Linked DNA regions of Oryctolagus cuniculus. The main gene of each other region encodes a partner of the protein of the gene in region 2 in a complex. Links are inferred from orthologs where the notes say so. Each region holds a gene or a part of one and is shown on either strand. Other genes may lie near its edges.

What was found.
Region 1: the proteins of QTRT2 (region 2) and QTRT1 are in contact, whole or in part, in a crystal structure (PDB 7OVS), measured with the Mus musculus proteins. The link is inferred for Oryctolagus cuniculus from reciprocal best matches to the Homo sapiens genes QTRT2 and QTRT1. Residues at the interface, in NP_001343258.1 of Mus musculus: Arg39, Thr40, Gly41, Ser42, Ala43, Pro44, His45, Leu46, Thr47, His48, Gln49, Thr50, Asn53, Glu70, His71, Glu73, Val74, Glu77, Tyr78, Phe85, Ile86, Gly87, Phe119, Gln342, Glu343, Phe345, Tyr355, Asn359, His360, Ala363; in NP_068688.2 of Mus musculus: Thr50, Thr53, Met54, Lys55, Gly56, Ile57, Thr58, Thr59, Glu60, Gln61, Ser64, Arg80, Pro81, Leu85, Lys88, Ala89, Phe95, Met96, Asn97, Ala307, Lys308, Phe310, Pro320, Thr324, His325, Ala328, Phe329, Ala332, Leu333, His335.

Annotation. Positions count from the first base shown.
Region 1 is NC_091447.1:66,830,959-66,834,872, forward strand, and holds the start of QTRT1 (queuine tRNA-ribosyltransferase catalytic subunit 1), read right to left. Parts: upstream 2,609-3,914; 5' UTR 2,570-2,608; coding exon 2,327-2,569; intron 2,188-2,326; coding exon 2,119-2,187; intron 2,033-2,118; coding exon 1,894-2,032; intron 1-1,893.
Region 2 is NC_091435.1:70,119,654-70,123,230, reverse strand, and holds part of QTRT2 (queuine tRNA-ribosyltransferase accessory subunit 2), read right to left. Parts: intron 1,619-3,577; coding exon 1,501-1,618; intron 1-1,500. UniProt on the Homo sapiens protein: Non-catalytic subunit of the queuine tRNA-ribosyltransferase (TGT) that catalyzes the base-exchange of a guanine (G) residue with queuine (Q) at position 34 (anticodon wobble position) in tRNAs with GU(N) anticodons (tRNA-Asp, -Asn, -His and -Tyr), resulting in the hypermodified nucleoside queuosine (7-(((4,5-cis-dihydroxy-2-cyclopenten-1-yl)amino)methyl)-7-deazaguanosine).

The DNA.
Region 1 (3,914 bases), on a different chromosome or scaffold from region 2:
CCGCCGCTGGCTGTTACGGGTATTTGGGGAGTGAACCAGCAGGTGGAAGACCTCTCTCTGCCTTTCCATTAAATAAAACGAGAGAGAGAGACAGAGACAGAGAGAGAGAGAGATACAGAGACAGAGAGAGAGATATAGAGACAGAGAGACAGAGACAGAGAGAGACAGAAAATCCTTATTTCAAAAGGAAAACCTGGAACTGCTCCCCCAATTTTTCTTTTTAGAATAAAACAAATTAAGACCTAGAACAACAAAACTACAATGGTGGGTCCACACCCTCAACTGTTTTTTTTTTTTTTTAAATTTTATTTATTTATTTGTGAGGCAGAGTTAGAGAGAGAGAGAGAGAGAGAGAGAGGTCTTCATCCGCTGGTTCACTCCCCAGATGGCCGCAATGGCCAGAGCTGAGCTGATCCGAAGCCAGGAGCCAGGAGCTCCATCCGGGTCTCCCACGTGGGTGCAGGAGCCCTAGGACTTGGGCCACCTTCTACTCCTTTCCCAGGCCACAGCAGAGAGCTGGATCAGAAGTGGAGCAGTCGGGACCTGAACCGGCGCCCATATGGGATGCTGGTGCCGCAGGTGGAGACTTAGCCCACTACACCACAGCACCGACCCCCTCGTCTGTTTATTGCCCCCATGATGCACTCAGTGGATGTGCGGTGACACTGAGTGACAGGCACTTCATCAACGGTGACAGGTGCACCACCTTGACAGGGATGTGCTCTGCTGTGGGGGGTGGGGGATGGGAAGGCAGCAGTGGCTTATGGGAACTCCCTACACTTTCCATTCAATTTCATTTTGAATCTCAAAGTCTATCTTTTTTAAGACTTATTATTTTATTTACTCAAAAGGCAGAGTTACAGAGGAAAAAGGAGAGACAGAGATCTTTCACTCGCTGGTTCACTCTCCAGATAGCCACAATGGCCAGCGCTGGGTCAGGCTGAAGCCAGGAGCCAGGAGCTTCTTCCTGGTCTCCCATGCAGGTGCAGGGGCCCAAGCACTTAGGCCATCTTCTACTGCTTTCCCAGGCCACAGCAGAGAGCTGGACTGGAAGTGGAGCAGTCAGGACTCGAACCGGTGCCCATATGGGATGCCGGCTATGAAGATGGCAGCTTAGCTTTACCGGCTAAGCCACAGCACTGGCCCCTTAATTCATGATTTAGAGAAATGACAGCAACAGTGATCATAAATAACAGCCTCGGCAGGCCAGCACTGCGCTGAGCGAGTTCGGAACACTCCCCCGCTCGCTCTTGTCGTTCTTCAAGACTTACACACTTATTTACTCAAATGGTGGAATGGCAGAGAGGGAGAGACAGCAGGAGAGAAAGATCTTCCACCAGCGCTGGTCACTCCCCAAAAGCGAGGGCTGGGCCAGGCTGACGCCAGGAGCTCCATCCGGGTCTCCCACGTGGGCCGTCCCCTGCTGCCTCACCGGGCGGATCTGCAGGGCGCCGGCGCCGGCGTGCCACCGCGGGGACACGAACAAGCCCTCTGATGTGGGACGGGATGGGGGATTTGCAAGCTGCTCCACGTTCATTCTTGTCAACAACCCTAAAGGGGGGCGGGGGGAGGGGTGCTGTGCCACAGCCTGCAACACCAGCAGCCCACACGCGGGCTCCGGTTCGCGTCCCAGCCGCTCCACTTCGGATCCAGCTCCCTGCAAATGCACCTGGGCAAAGCGGCAGAAGATGGCCCCCCAGTATCTGGGCCCCTGCCACCCACACAAGAGACCCGGATGAAGCTCCTCGCCCCTGCTTCCTTCTGGATCTAGAGAGTGATGCAGCGGATGGAAGACACCCCCCACTGCACCCATCCCGGAGGAGGAAGGCGGGCCTGGACTCCCCCCTGCCCCACAGAGGGAGGGAAGGAGCGGCTCCCCGGGGGTCGCCTCACCCAGCGCGTTCTGGATCTCCACGGACCTCTCGGGACTCAGAAGGGTCTCATCGCCGTCGTAGGGCGAGCGGAAGCGGACGCCCTCCTCCGTCACCTCGGACAGGGACACCAGGGACACCATCTGGAAGCCGCCGCTGTCCTGGGGGAGCCCGCGCAGGGCTGTCAGACGGAGCGGGGGGCGGAGGGGGCTCTTCTCCCCAGCCCAGCGCCCCTGCGCCCCCTCACCGTCAGCAGGTTGTGGGGCCAATTCATGAAGCCGTGGAGGCCGTGGGCTTTCTGGATCAGCTCGGGGCCCTGGGGTGGACAGTGTGGCAGGTGCGGGGTGAGCGGGGTGACCGCCCTCGGGAGGCGAGCCCGGGACTGGGGTCCACCCGAGGGATCCCCCCACCCCACCGCGTCCCGCCGCCACCCCGCTGGGGCCGAGCGCACCCACCGGCCGCAGACCCAGATGGTAGGTGTTGCCCAGGCAGATCCGGCAGCCCAAGGCGTCCAGCTGCTCCGTGGTGATGCCTTTCATAGTGGCCTGCGTGCCCACCGGCATGAACACGGGAGTGGCCACCGTCCCGTGCGGCAGCCGCAGCTCGCCCGCCCGCGCCCTGGAGCGGCTGCACTCGGCCACCAGCCGCATGATCCGCGGAGCCGACTCCAGGGACGCCGGGCTGGCCGCGGCCGCCATGTTGCCTGGCCGGAAACACGTGAGCGTTGCGATGCTGTAGGCGGCGCCATCTTGGTCCGGGTCACGTGACGAGAGACGCACGCCGACGGCCCGGAAGAGCGCCCGGGGACCATGGCAACGGACGCCTACGCGCGGGGGCGCCGCGGGGGGCCCGCGCGTCGCTTCCTCCCGCCGCCCGCCAAGGCGTGGCCTCGGAATCCTCTGCCTGCTCTGCCATCAAAGCCGTCATTTTCTCCCGTGGACGTGGGGCGACTGCCAGCTCTGGCAGCGTCAGGGCGTTGTCAGGACAACAGGAGAAGCGGGGAGGATGCGTGGATTTCTACGCGGGCTTTTGTCTTCCCGAGGGGTCGGAACGAGCATGGAAGTGCCCACGAAACACGTGTCTTCCGTGGAAGACGCACTCCCAGACGCGGGCCCGGCCCCCGCGCACGCGTGCGCGTCCGTCCGTGCGGTGCCCGCCGTTGGGCACCTGCCCGCCAACCCTGGGACGACGCCATGTGGAGCTTGGGCTGTGTTCCGCTGAGAGTCTGTGATGCAGAATCGGTGCGTTTGTTTTGCTTTGACGTGGGGCTGGTATCTGTCGAGGCCAGCAGAGAGCGCCATTGTCCCAGAGCACTGCCTCTGGGAACCTCGGGCCCTGGGCGCGTTCCGCAGGGAGCCCCACCGCGCGGCCTGTGCACTTGCTGGTGGATCTGTGGGCAACTCAGCCTTGCTGAATTCCTCCTAGAGGGCCATCTTTCTCACAGGCGGCCCCACTTCCAAAGATTCAGACCCCCAACCAACCCCGCACAGGAAGATCCCACCCTCTGTCGCTCTGTCATATCACTTGTGATTGATGTTATATAATTTCAAAACCCTCTATATAACAGCAGTTTCAAAAAGTTTTTAAAAAATATTTGAGAGGCAGAGAGAATGGTCCCGTCCACTCGTTCACTCCACAGATGCCTGAAATGCGTTGGACCAGACCAGGATAAAGCTGGGAGCCAATAACCCACTTCAGATCTCTCGTGTGGGTGGCTGGGACCCTAGCATTGGATACTGCCTCCCAAGGTGGGCGTGGGCAAGGCAGCTGGAGCCAGGAGCCCGAGATAGGAATCAAACCCACGTCTTCTGTGGCGACAACCACTCGACTAAATGCCTGCTCTCCCCCAAAGTTTTATCCTGCTCCCTGCTTTGAAAAGACTAGAGGGGCTGGCGCTGTGGTGTAGCAGGTTAAGCTGCCACCCACAGTGCCAGCATTGCATATGGGTGTCGGTTCAAGTCTCAGCTGCTCCTCTTCCCATCCAGCTCTCTGCTGTGGCCTGGGAAAGCAGTGTGGGATGGCCCAAGTCCCTGCACCCGTGTG
Region 2 (3,577 bases):
AGTGGTTAAAAACATCATTGGCAAATTCAGTGCTGATCAATGGCTTAAGTGGGCAATGTGGTTAAAACACAACAAAGAACATTGTAAGTTAGGGAGACTCAGGAGTTTTCCTCTGACGGAAGCAACCTTCAAGTCTGGGGCTTAAGAAAAGCATCTGGTCACTCATTCATGTTGAACATTATTAGTCACATTGGAAAGGAACATAATGTTAGGAAAAAGTATTCTAGTGAATGACATTTCTTTCCCACTCACCACCAGAACTGTCAGAAGACATGGCATGACCTTCTTCTTATGTATATCTCTTTACAAAGCACTTTGATTTATACAATCTTACTGAGTCTCCATACCACTCTTAGAGACAGCCACTTGCATTGTCAATTTACAGATGAACCCACTATGGGGATTAAGAGGGAGGGTTCTTAAGCAACCCTGCCTACATTTGAATCCTGGCTCCACAATTCACTTGGGCAAGTGACTTCTTCCGTCTTTTGTTTCTCATCCATGAACCAAAGGTAATAATATTGCCAAACTCATAGAGCTGCTGTGGGAATTAAATGAATTAATACAGCAAAAGAGTCTGAATATTGTTGGCCACATTTATAAGCACTAAATAGGCATTATCTTTTAACAGCTATCAAGGAGAAGTTAAGTGCCTTGACCAAGGTCACACAGTCAAGAGTAGTGTTAGAATTTGTTTTCAAGTCTCCAAAACTTCAAGTCCAGTGCTATAAGTATACTACATTTTTAAATTGAATCTACAATGTAAAGAGAGTTTTAGTAATAAACATTTATATTGCCCTAATGATATAAAAGAAATTAATCTCCTTGGCTATTTTTTAATGTATAAGGAATTAAATGAGGTAGATACTACCATTTCAGTCCTACAGTTAAGAAGCCCAGATAGAATATGGGTAAGATATAGGATTTTCATACTCTCATAAATTCTCAAGTCTTCACAATAACTAGACAGACATATATAGGTCAGAATCTACAGAATGTCTCTTTATGGAAGTCGGAATGCATCCAGCACTCTAGTGAGGACACTACTCACTGGTTTACTGATGATCATCACTTTGGGCCAAATACAAAACTACAAGGTATTTTAGCTCATTCCTTATAGAGGCAAATGTTTTATTTAAATTTATAACCTGTATATAACCAAGATAACTTACAATTTAAAAACTTTGTTGTGTTTTATCTTGAAATCCTTCACTGTCATTATTTTAAGTAATCAGGAGAAAAAGACAATAAACAATGGATTTAATCTTTCTGATAGCTTTTCTAAAGTAACAGTTATCTTTGTTTTCTGAAAAGTACACAAATTAATCTGCAGAAAAAACTGAGTTTTCCTGGAACCAAATTTAAGAAGATCTAACTAATATCCAACTATAAATATTTTATGAAGTCATAAACTGAAAAGAGAACAGTTATATAAACTTTAAAAACAGGCTAAAATTTAAAAATCAAAAATGAAAATCTAAGCTTTAAAAAATTTCTTACTTTTTTTCCTTCAGATTAATTTCAAATGATGTCATTTCTTGGTTGCAACCACTTGTTTTAATTTTCTTTACTTGGTCCACATATTTTATGTCTTCTTGTATCCCATTCTGTTGTAATACTGAATAACAAACCAATAAAAAGTCTTGAATAAAGATCAGATAATGAACGGCCATTGTAAGAATTTTATTTTACTTATTATTTTATGCCCTTTGAGCCTATAATCCCACGACTGAGAATTTATCATAAAGAAGTCACAGAAGAAAAATAGCAACATGCTCCAAAATGAACACTTTTCTTTTATCGACATCAAAACAATTTAGATATTCAGCAATCCCTAAGCCAATTATGGTTACAAGTATGTAACACATAAACTTGCCATCAAGGAATGATTTAAAAATGGTGTGGCTGTGTGTTTGTGTACATGTGTGTGTGTTGAGGATAATCGTATACCTTAACCAAAGTACAGGTACATGACTATATTCCAAATAGATTTGAGTAGAACATGGGTGATTTTTTGGTTGTTTTTTAAGATCTATTTATTTTATTTGAAAGAGTTACGGGGGGTGGGGGGAGAGAATCTTCCATCCCCTGATTCACTGCCCAAATGGCCACAGGAGCCAGGAGTTTCATCTGGGTCTCCCATATGAGTGCAGGGGCCCACGACATGGCCATCTTCTGCTGCTTTACCAGGTGCATTACCAGAGAGCTGGATGGGAAGTGAAGCACCCAGGACTTGAACCTGCACCCAGATGGGATCCCAGTGTCACAGACAGCAGCTTAGCCTGCCATGCCACAATGTTGATCACAAACACAGTTTTAATTTATGTATTCTCTATGGAGACTCTGACCTTTCAGGAGACATAGACTACCCAGAATTAGATGGAAACTTTTAATTGCTCCTTTGAGCTTTTTGCTTTAAGAAAGCAAATGAGCTACAAAAGAAACACCAGCTACTCTACAAAAAGCCAGCTGCCTCGAACAGGGGCAAGTAGACATTATCCATTGGGGGAATGAATGATAATCTCATTGTAGGCAAACAAGAATGGACAGATGGTCCTAATAAGGCCTTAATAAGCCCAAAGGCAGAAGAGAAGTGACCTGAGCACAGAGCTATTATAATTTTGTTTCTATGAATTTGTGTACTGATGTAGAAAAACTTAATAAAGCCCTGACATTTTGAAAAACTCTTGCCATTTCAGGGAACAATCATATTTCTTTGAACTTTTCACTATATACTTGGCAAAGGACTTACACATAAACCCATATAGAAATACAATTAATAATATATTATAATATAGAAATATAATATATTATTATAAATTTTACATATATATATATAAAAACTCAGTGCCGAGTTAGAGTCCTGGCTGCTCCACTTCTAGTCTAGCTCCTTGCTCATAGCCTGGGAAAGCAGTGAAAGACGGCCCAAGTGCTTGGGCCCCTGCACCTACGTGGGAGACCCAGAAGAAGTTCCTGGCTCCTGGCTTTGGATTAGCCCCACTCCAGCCATTGCAGCCATTTAGGGGAATGAACCAGTAGATGGAAGAACTCTCTCTGTCTCTCCTTCTCGCTCTATAACTGCCTCTCAAATAAATAAATATTTTTTTAAAAGTTCAAACTATTTTAATTTTCCAAATTGTGAAGAAATTGGAATTTCTCTGGGCAATAAGGATCTGTTCAATATAGAGAACTCGGTAATCAAATGCTTTTCAGAGTTTTGCATATTCATGGTACTGAATGACTAATAATCCTCTCTGTCCTGGTGGGAATAATTTAGTTTGTAAGTGAAGTCATGAAAACTTACAGTGTAATGGTATACCCATCCACATATATTATGTTCTATCTAAAAGGACAATAAAGTTGATCCTCTTTATAGAAGAATTTGATCAACATGATTTGCTTCCAGAAGTAATCCAATTCAGATTAATGGTTAAGTTGTTTTACAGAAGTGTAACATCTCCTGAACAAAACTGCAGTCATTTGTGTGGAATAAAATGAACCTGTTAAAAAGTCTTGGGGGGAGAGGGACAGATACTTAGGATGCCTGCATCCCAGATCAAAGTGGGATGATCCTGAT